Linked DNA regions of Tribolium castaneum. The protein of the gene in region 3 purifies or fractionates together with the protein of the main gene of each other region. This does not show direct contact. Links are inferred from orthologs where the notes say so. Each region holds a gene or a part of one and is shown on either strand. Other genes may lie near its edges. The genes, in order: Cep97, Ube3a and Neurl4.

Evidence for each region.
Region 1: the proteins of Neurl4 (region 3) and Cep97 purify together in Homo sapiens (affinity purification with western blotting; 4 studies listed by BioGRID and IntAct, with this or other methods). This does not show direct contact. The link is inferred for Tribolium castaneum from reciprocal best matches to the Homo sapiens genes NEURL4 and CEP97.
Region 2: the proteins of Neurl4 (region 3) and Ube3a purify together in Homo sapiens (affinity purification with mass spectrometry; 3 studies listed by BioGRID and IntAct, with this or other methods). This does not show direct contact. The link is inferred for Tribolium castaneum from reciprocal best matches to the Homo sapiens genes NEURL4 and UBE3A.

The regions. Positions count from the first base shown.
Region 1 is NC_087402.1:12,399,931-12,403,688, forward strand, and holds the start of Cep97 (centrosomal protein of 97 kDa), read right to left. Parts: upstream 2,329-3,758; 5' UTR 2,230-2,328; exon of another isoform or gene 2,164-2,229; 5' UTR 2,139-2,163; coding exon 2,135-2,138; intron 2,086-2,134; coding exon 1,940-2,085; intron 1,892-1,939; coding exon 1,631-1,891; intron 293-1,630; coding exon 96-292; intron 23-95; coding exon 1-22. UniProt on the Homo sapiens protein: Acts as a key negative regulator of ciliogenesis in collaboration with CCP110 by capping the mother centriole thereby preventing cilia formation. Required for recruitment of CCP110 to the centrosome.
Region 2 is NC_087400.1:8,646,266-8,650,023, forward strand, and holds the start of Ube3a (ubiquitin-protein ligase E3A), read right to left. Parts: upstream 2,824-3,758; 5' UTR 2,573-2,823; coding exon 2,529-2,572; intron 2,418-2,528; coding exon 2,243-2,417; intron 2,197-2,242; coding exon 2,082-2,196; intron 1-2,081. UniProt on the Homo sapiens protein: E3 ubiquitin-protein ligase which accepts ubiquitin from an E2 ubiquitin-conjugating enzyme in the form of a thioester and transfers it to its substrates.
Region 3 is NC_087398.1:5,349,006-5,352,126, forward strand, and holds the end of Neurl4 (neuralized-like protein 4), read right to left. Parts: coding exon 3,075-3,121; intron 3,026-3,074; coding exon 1,560-3,025; intron 1,516-1,559; coding exon 1,278-1,515; intron 1,229-1,277; coding exon 780-1,228; 3' UTR 526-779; downstream 1-525. Other genes in the region: succinate dehydrogenase [ubiquinone] iron-sulfur subunit, read right to left, coding at 1-165, 212-438. UniProt on the Homo sapiens protein: Promotes CCP110 ubiquitination and proteasome-dependent degradation. By counteracting accumulation of CP110, maintains normal centriolar homeostasis and preventing formation of ectopic microtubular organizing centers.

The DNA.
Region 1 (3,758 bases), on a different chromosome or scaffold from region 3:
AAACGGACGGTAATCAAATCCACTGGATTAAGTTAAGAAATTGAATAAACAATAAAAATGAGCAAACAAAATATAAGCAATGTCACAAAGGATACATGTTAGTGTTGCCAAAGTTAACACAAGGGTTATTAGCGATGGAAATATTTTGTAGATTAACAAGATGAACAAGCTGAGAAATTTCATTCAAATCCTCAATGTTATTATTAGCCAAAGTCAGGGTTATTAAACTAGTAGGCAGGAAACGATCACTCTGTCTAAGATGATTAATTTTGTTATTGTGTAGAAAAAGCTCCTAAAATCAAACAATCACAACAAAATTTCCCGAAAGAGGGCGCTAGGTTCAACAATTAGCATGGTTACATGTATCTGATCACCATGCTAACGAGAGAAGATGGCGCCAAAAGAAAATTTCACACAGAGACAAGGTAATATAAATTTACAATACTTTCTGAAACAACAGCAAATCGAATAGATTTTTTAAATACATTTTATACGCTTTCTCAAAACTATAAAAACGCCAACGTCGCATTTTCTCTCAAAATTAGTTATTATAGATTATTTATAGTAGAATTTTGCAACAGCGCATTTGCATTTTTTGAATGAAATGGAGCACAAATTGAGAGTTTCTCAAAGTGTGTCGTTGGGATTTAGTTTAACACAGAATTCTTTTTCTTATACAGAAACTTTCAATTTGTACTTCATTTTTCTCTCCAAAAAATACAAATGCGCGGTTGCAATTTTACTATGAGCCGAAATGGAATACACACGGTGATTCAAAAGTCTCGAATCGTCTCTTGGGCAGCTATAAAAAACATCAGAGTCAAAGTTCCTATGGCAAAAAATTGTGTGAACCTTTTTTCACGCTATATATCGTAGCTTTCCAAAGTTAGGTTTTTAGATTTGAGGTTTTCAGGTCAAATTGTTTTTAATTTATTTAGCGAAAACGACAAATCATGCAATCATTAAACGGACATCTGTTAAAAAATCACCAATCAGCGATATTCCAATCATTTAATACACGTAAATTTGGCAAATTATATAATAATTTAAATCTGACATGACTAAAAACAAAAGAACAACAATTAAAATAGCTGCTAAGGAAAACAAATACAAAAATATATTAAAAATTAAATGGCAAGTTGCTTGGAAAAAATGGACTTTCTTTACTGAACGACGCATATCACCATACGAGAGTTGGTTGGATACGTTTGAATCACGCTGTAAGTATAGCAAAAATAATTTCATTATTGTATTGTCTTCCCATTTATGAAATTCTTCAGTTAGATGATTTAGAAGTACGATGAGTTTAACATTCAACGCTGAATGTTTTTTTTAACCTTTCTTTCCTCCTGTTAATTTTAACTGTTCGTATTTTTTAAATTTGAACATAAGGCCACTGAAAAATAAGTACACACCAGTTGATAAGAAGGGCAGTATGTACCTCTTGTTGCTTATCTAGAGTGAGAAAGCTGCCAGTCTATCTTACCTTATCTCTGCACCGCACGAAATTTCCCGAAAGAGGGTGCCACGTTCTACAATTATCATGGTTACGATACGGTAACCATGGTAACAACACAATATGGCGCCACATTTAAGAGAAACTCAATTATCAAGCAAGCTATGAACTAACCTTTAAATCTTTCAAGAATGCTAAATCATTGATGTGCGTAATGTTATTCTCCGACAAATCTAAATGCTCTAAATTCGTGTTAGTATTGAGATGTTCAATAGTTTTTATACTATTCCCAGCCAAGCAAAGCCACTTTAAATTAACCAGATCCTTGAGCCCCTCGATTGTGAGTATTCCGTTATGAGCGAGATTCAAAGTGTGCAGAGAATGGAGGCGACATACGCCATACATGCGCAACAATTGATTGCGCACTGCTGACAGCTACAAGGGGGCCCTTAAAACGTCGCGCACTTAAAGCTACAATTTTACCTTCTGTAGCCGAAACAACGAGTCGATGTTATCCAAACGTTGCAGTTCGTTATCGTCGAGTATCAATGTTGTTATCACTTGCGATTCCTGAGGCGAGAATTTGGCGAGTTTTTTGAGCTTCTTGTTCGACAAATCTGATATTTCCTCTGAAACGGCAAATCACATTGAAAATTCACTACAAATCCATTTACTTACCCATTTATATTTAACTTATACGCATTTTTTTATTTGCTAAATATTATTGACAGGTAGGTGATGGCGCTAATAGAAGGACGGCGATGATCAGCTGATTATTAAATTGTTCCACATTTTAAAATTGTGAGCAGGAATCGTTGTGTTCCTTTCACTTATAGAAGTTTAACTTATTGGTTAGAAAATGTAAGTGCATGTGTTGGATTATATTCCATATAAACAATAACGATCACGTCCTATGGTTAACTTAATTAAAAACGTTCAAGTCTAAAGCCTGTCATCGTCAGAAAAATCAATAACAGTTCAGCCTGCTTTGGTTGATTTCGCTCGATTTGAGAAACATTCCGTCAAAAATAAGTCAAAAATTATATGTTTGCTAAGATGATGCTCTGTTACCTTTTTAAGCCCGTTTGTGAACTAGGATTTCAAGTTTCTTTTAGGACACTGCTGGAATAGACAGACATTCAAAAAAATTTCAGATTAGTTGAATATTACTTTACTTTTAGTTTTGCAAAGATTGTGTTTTTTAATGTTAAAGCACGTTTTTGAAGTTATAGCTACATCTGTTTTTATATGAATGCGGTATCGTAGTAGGTATTAAAAGATTGCCGCTTCTTTCCAGAAAAAACGAACAATGCTCGTATATGATAACATTGGTCAAATTGGTTTTACTGATTGCCTGAGTAGATAAAAATTTGTACTTTTCAGAAATTTCTTAAAAATAAAATAATTAAATGCAGAAAATTTAAATTCCAAAACCACATGAGATCCTGCACTCTTTTATATACAGTCCGTATAATACATTATTTTGGACAGAATTTGTTAGAATTCACAAAAGGATTATAAAATTGGATCTAAACAATTTCAAGCTGGTTCATTCGTTTTGTGAAGAAAAGACTATTTTATTTATTTTTGGTTTACTTGTTCAAAATTTTTAAAAATAATTCGTCAGAGATGGTGCCGTTTAAATTAAATTCTCAGTTTTTATTGACTAAAAATTACCGAATAAAATGAATGATTGATTTATTTTGGTTTGTTGTTCAGTTGTACTGTTCTGATAATGAACGCATCTGTTTTTCAGTTTTACGAGCTCCCTTATCAATTGACAGCTGACATGACGCATAATAGTTGCCAACCTTGCGCTGGTAAAAATCAATTTTGCTGTTAATTTATCTCCGAAATCAATACAACACGTGCCCCCATATTGGGGCTTTTTATGCATTATTATACCGTCGTTTAAACTGTGTACGTGTTGTGTCTTGCACCGTGCTTAAGTAAATGTTAATGATTTGGGGTAAGTTGGCAGTAGTGACACCTAATGAATATGGAGTTATTTGCAAACGAAGAAAATGACTTGGTTTTCTCAAATGATTAAAGTTTATTGATAGAAAAACGGTGTAAAGTACGAATAGTGCAACGCATGTTTCGTTTCAGTGCAATAACATTCGAAACGTAAAGTGTACAATTGTTGACATTTGTAATTTGGTTGGAGAAGGTGGAAGAAAAATCTCTTGGTCTTGAAAAAGTGGCTTGAATTGGTCAAACTGGAGCGTTTACCGGAATATCTCCGCGATACCGTGGATTGGTTCATGGGGTGAGTAATACCACTATTAACTAGCTAAATCTG
Region 2 (3,758 bases), on a different chromosome or scaffold from region 3:
GTCCTACATAAAATTTTGTATATTTGATGAAAATCAGGAATTCAAAAGGCTGATTTAACCCCGATATCTAGAAGTCATATAGTAATGATTGGTTTTATCTCTTTTTTATACATTTTTTTACATAACTAGAACTATCATTAAAAAGCAGTTTTTTTCTGATCTCAAAAACTAATAACCTCACGTAGAAATCTGCGTTTGCAAAAATGCTTTATTAATTTTTCTGTGCATGTGAATTATTTCGGAATTTTTTTACAATTCCATACAATAAAATTATTATCATTGAACTAAAAATAGGTACATATTAATACTAGTATTAATAAAACTAAAAATATGAAAACATTAATTAACCAAAATGTTATTCTAAAACAAACCTTGCTTAAATATTTTGCACAAAAAATTTTGAAAAAAATCTACATACCTACATTAAGAAGAAAATTGCTAAACTCTGGTGATTACTACGAGTAATTTTTATTTGTTTTGCCGACTTGTTCGATCCTTTTCAACATATTCCGAGAAAATCTTAGGTATTTCAAACAATGTAATTCCAGAAAAATTGGAATTCAAGGTTATTTGACATTATTTGCTTCTTGCTGGGCTTTCTCAATCTCTATCATCAGAAATCTTCATGACATCATAACAAAATAATTTTTTTACCGAAACTAAATTAAAATTTAACCTATTGTTTTCCAAAGAGAATAACAGATTTTGTGGTGTTCCAAACTTTTGATCATTTATCCGTTTTTGAGCAAGGAACATATAAAAATTACTAACAAATAAACACTACTTCAAAAAGAAAAAAAAACACTGATGTTTAATGCATTACTAAATTCAGTTCAAAAAAATAATAGGATAATTCTGTGTATGAATAGTACAAGGATACAGAAACATCGTGTTTCACATCTTCCTGTCTTCAGTTGATCGAGGTTTATTTTGCCCTCTTTTCCGCTTACCCCGTAGTTGACTGTTGAAGATTCTCGGCGGCAAAATTTGTCAAAGTAAAATCAATATTCGAATTCGTTAAAAACTATTAAAAAATTTATTTGTTTTTTGAACGCATTCTGTTCGTACCACCACCGTGCATTTTTCCCGTACACGTTTTTTAAAATATTATGAATATTTGTTTAAAATTTTAATAAAAAAAAATATCAATTTTTTTTCAAAAAAGTGTTATATTGTCTCAAATTCCAATTATTTAAAAGACTCAATTCAAATAAATTTCATTACTACTTGTCTTTGTCGCACATTTCTATTTGCCTCTTGTAACTGTTTTTCTAAATTTTAAATCTAATACATTTTCCAAGTGAAAATTAAAAGTAGTCTACTTTAAAATCGATTTGTAGATCAACATCAAAAGGAAATGTAAGTAAAAAATTTATTTTTAATTATTTTAAAGACTTGAGACAATCGCCCAACATTAATGATTTAAAAAGACAAAAATGACACCATTTTTGATCCAATTTATTAACTTTTTTTTTTCAAAACGGTATAGAAAAAATTCGCACAAACTGCGTTTTAACTCAATCATGTACTTATTTAAACTTAAAAAATCAAAAATTCCTCCATTTCTTTACAAATTTTGAGATTTTTCGATTAATTTACAGCAAAACAGTGATTTTGAGATAATTTGGAAATAACTGCGTTTCTGAAATACAGGGTAAAACGCCTTGAAAAAGGCAAAATCCCTCCTAAAATGATCGGAAAAAAAAATATTTTTTTTAGCTTAGGGTCGGCGTATGTTTTTATTAAATTTGGCGAAATAACTAAATATATAAAAGTAAATAATTTTTCGACTTTTCATTCCGTTCCAACAAAGTTTTGAGTGTTTACAAGTTTAAGTGCTTGAAACAAAAAATTCTCAACACATTTTTTGGCAAATATTAATAACATTTTTGAGATAAAATTTACTTGTTATACCAGTACAGCTGCGTTACCAACCCTTAATAAGCGTCATTTTGAAACGCATAAAGTTCTTAGAACAGAAAAAAATAAAGAATTAAGCTCAACTTTCAAAGACACCATCGGAATTCAGAGAGGTTTAAGAAGACGTTGGACAAAAATACGACCGTGTTGTGGATACTTACCCATTTTATTGTTAGTCCTCTGTATTTTGTTAGGGTGTCTCTCGCACAAAATCGCTTCTTGAGAGAAGAGCTGAATGGCTTGCGCAGCCGCCTCGTCTGGCGTGAGTGGCTTGAGCTGAAACTGGCTTGTAGCTTCTACTTTTAAAATATAAGGGGGCTACCTGTCCGCTGGAGGCGCAGTACTTGTTCTTGCAGGCGGGGTTCCCACAACCGTCGGTCAATTGGTAGAAATATCGTTCAATCAGCTTGCGGGCAGCAGCACGTTTCATCTCGTCCTCCTTATTGTCAGGGGTAGAGGTTTCGTTGTTGGTGCTAGACGAAGCCTCTTGGTTTATCCTGCAAGCAGTTTTTCAGCTATAAGGGGGCACGATTTGGATGACATTCAAATTTGACATTAGGAACATAACCTCAAAACAGATCGGGAAAGAGCTAGGATTAAGGGGGTACCTTGAAGCGTCGTCTTGGTCAGTTGGTGGGTCTGAAGAGCTCATAGAATTTTCTTGTGTAAATAAATAAACGCTAAAACACTAGAAAAATAAAAGATACAAAAGGTGGCGCAAGGACTTTAGCACATGGGGTCCCACATTGAGGAACGGCGAGAGAACTTTGAAATACTTTGTCGTAAAATTTAAAACGGATATTTTGTTTGTTTTTACTTGAGGCTCGAAGATTTTACGACATTGCTAATGATTGCTCTGTCATTTCGAGTTGGGGACTTTCGAGCGCACCTGGTGTCGAGACTGGAAGTGTGGTCACACTGATTGTTTACAAATTTCAAATCTTCCTGCCACGAAAAATAATTGTTATTTACTCGGTTATTTATTGTACAACACGATAAAATTTTATTCCATCCTCCAGTATTTCGATTGAATTACTCAGTTATTTTGATTAACAATTTTAAACATCAAAAAATTCAAAAAAACGTAGAAAACACAAAAACAAATGTTGGGAACAATATTTCCATAGACGATAAGATTTCGTTTTACCATGAAGTCGCAGTGAAAAAAATGCAATTTTATCATATAGGGTAGAAAAAATATTTATAGTATTTTAGAACAAACCTGAAAATGAATTGTACAAAAATAGAATAATTGTCAAATACCACTAAACAGCAAATTAGTTTATCATAATTAAGATTAATAAAAATAATGCTAGAATTAAATAAATAATAATGATCAATTTTCATTTCTGAGTGCCGACAAATGAACATTGGAGGCTTCATACGCCACTATAATAAGCTTTCAACTTTACCTCTTGTCTTGTTACCTCTAACAAAATTACCAACACTAACAAATTTATACAAAATCGATTTATCTGATGCAGCTTTGATCTTTTCGAATTTGTTTACGTACGTATCAGTCGATTGTTGGCTACCTGATCAGTAACAAGCTCTAAAATGTTTTCAAGGCAGAAACTTGTCCTGGCATTGCTTTGTATTTTTATTTTCAGTTTCCAACAAGTGAGTGATAAAAGTTAGTTGGTAGCAAAGTTAGTTATTAGTTTCGAAAATATAAATTTTACCGAGCAAAGTATGTGTGGCTACTAGTTAAAATAATTATTTGCTTGCAGGTTTCACCGAAAAGTATTATCGACAAAATAATGATAAATTTCTGTGAGAAATATGGACGACTTTCCAACTCTGAATCGGGAAAGCTTCCGGATAGTGAAATTACTTTG
Region 3 (3,121 bases):
TCACCTTTCGGTTCGATTCGTTTAGTGCAGGCAAGAGCATTCCTGCCGTTGATGTTCATGGCACACGAGCCGCACACACCCTCACGACAGGATCGGCGGAAAGTTATAGTCGAGTCTTGCTCTCGTTTTATTTTCAGCAAGGCGTCAAGGATCATTGGGCCACAACTGGAACCACAAATTAATGAAATTGTTTTTGCAAACTGCCAAGTACTCGTTAAGATCAATCGTGTATTTCTGCATGTGCGGCTTCTTCTTACTTTCTTTCGTGAAGCGATAAATTGAGAAATCCTTCAAGCGAGGACTTTTGGGGGCAGGGGGAGCACTCTTTTCTGCCGGCTTTTTTTGAGCTTGTTTGAAGTTATGTGCGGAAGTTGTAACAAATCGGGCGCCAAAATGCCCCCCATAATTTTTCAAAATTACTTTGCCGATTTTTGACATTTGGAGTTCGTTTAGAGACGTCAAAATATTGCCATTGTATTTTTTAGACTTCTAGTTTTTTATCAAGGATTGAAAAAAAGCCAATCATTGTGGTCAACATGTTTTATTCGGTCCGTAAACAAACTTAACGTATACTACAGTGCCGTGTGTCTTGGATAAAATCTGCTTGTTGTAAATAAATACATCGGTAACCTATTCTAAAATTAGTTTGATGACGAATTTGGGAAAAATAATATCACATCTTCGACTTGTTCCAATCATCAGACTAAATTCGTTAACATAATCACAGCTCGACAAAAAAAATTCCGAATGTTTAATTGCACACACCAATCGCTACACATTTAATTACATTCAATTTGAATCAAAAGCGAATGTAGAACAATTGCTCCGGTTTCTTTGGTGCTCCATTCGGGTGGATCCCTCGATACGGAGTAGGCGCTCGGTTTGACTAACAATTGAAAAGCGGCATGGACCACTCGATTGTTTGTCTTGTACCCTGAAGTCTTGCAGTTTTGTAAGGTTGGGTAAAAAACGACTTGGACATCGTCTTCTTTCTGTGCCACTAGATTACACCACTGGGCCTGGCCTTTGGTCAGCGGCTGCCCTTTGTCGAGTATACAACGCACCGCCCCCACCTTACACACGTAGAAGGCCGTGTGCCACTTATCGGTCGCTGTATTGGCTGAATTTTTCAGAGGAAATTTCACCCAACCCAGGAGAGAGTTATCTTTCTCGCCTTTTATGCAAGTCGAGCAGTGGCAGATCGGGTCGTCTGACGTAAAATAATTATCTATGAGAAAAAAAAATCGTATGGGATTAAATTACGTAAGTGGGCGAACCTGGCAAAAGGAGGCGTTTCTTAAACGTGAGACACTCGTCCCTGTAGGAACAAATCAGCGATTTGATTGGACTAGGCGGTGAGGGACGCGACACGCCCCCTGACGATGTTAGACTAGTACTTGCTGAGGGTATGGGTAAAGTCAGTCGCTCCTTTTCGCAACTTTCAAGGTCCGCCTTTTCGTAATCAGTGACCGAATTTTCGGCCACCTCTTGCGCAACATCATTCAAGATTTTAATCTGCAATCAATTGCTTCACCACGAATCAACAAACGCACCTTTACCTGTTGGCACTGCCCGTAGAGATCAAAAACAGCGTAAATGGCTTGCCCCGTTTGAAAAACAAAAGACAAAGCTTCCTCCTCAATCCCATTCACTAACAACTTCAACCCGGAAAGGGTCAACATAACACCCACAGTATCGCCAACTTGTAAATTACTCAAACGTTGGCCGAAGTTCGAACGTGACTTGACCCCGTTCACCGAAATCCAATCGTTTGCGACAATGCAACACGGTGCTTTGAACGCCAGTGCATTGACAGGTAGATTCAAACGTTCAGGTGGTCCCGAAACCACGCCCACGATAATCGACGATTGCCATCGCGTCTCCAGTTGGTCGATTATGATCTGGACCTTTGAGCTGATCTCGAGGGCGGGCTGAGCGATCACCACGCCCTGATTATATGAAGCGACACGTCTCGCAGTCGTACGACCCTCAACAATCTCGATATTTCGTCCGTGGTTGTCGTGAAATTCGTAAATTGTTGACACGTCCGGATCTCTGACCAGTTCGATTTGTTCTTGGTTGCAAAGTTCGAGACTGTCTTGCAACCGTGCGCTGTTTAGGGACCACAAGGGTGACTTGTGACTGGTCACGGCGACGGCATTACACGACCCTTTCAGGTCTACAACCACGTATAAAGTCTCAGGGAGAGGGGGCAAACACAAGTTTAATTCTTCACTGTTTATGAAAATTTTTAAAGCGCCATCGAGCGTTCGGAGTAACCCGATTCGGTCCCCGACGTTCAGCCAATGCAAGCTCGGAGTAAATAACTGAATTGTTTTGTTTCTAAATCTGAGTTCGTTCCCGGTGATGTAACAACATTGTTCGAAGATATTAATGTTGGATTTCCCGGGAGGTGTTTCCGACACGCCTATGACTATACTTCCGGCCAAATGCTCGACCAATGAAACTATAGTGACCTCGAATAGCTCCTCCCTTTCGAGCGTTGTGGCGCTACATACCACCGCCCCGGTTAAATCTTTCGTGCGTTTGGCCAATCGGCCACCGTCACTCAAACACACGCCTTTGCCGTGACAATCAGAGAAGATATGTAGATCGGTTTGAACCGCCGGTTGGACTACACTAACCGCTTGCAAACTAATGGAAGTGTCCGACCGGGGACAGTTATCTAAATTTGTGGGAATAGGAACAAGTGGGGAGACACAAGGAATGCTAACTTGGGCACATTGCCCGTAGAGATCGACAACGGCATATACCGTACTGTGGGGGACAATACAGGCGGGTCCTTGGGGGACACCGTCTCTGTAAAACTCCAAAGTTTTGTCGCTTGAACGCACGACTCCAATTCGAACGCCAGCGTCGAGAGTGTCCAAGTCGCAGGGGTAGTTGTTTTTGACCGTGGTGCCATTTTCCATAATGGAGGATCCGCTGAGCATCCAGGTGTCGCGACAGAGGTCGGTGGCGGTGCCCGGAAGCTCGATATCGTCGGGGCGAACGGCGGTCACACCTTTAGGACGATTTATTACTTACTGGGTAATAATGTCGGCCGTACTGACCTAATTCGATGCTTCCCGACCACCGATCGACGATATTGTCGAGACAA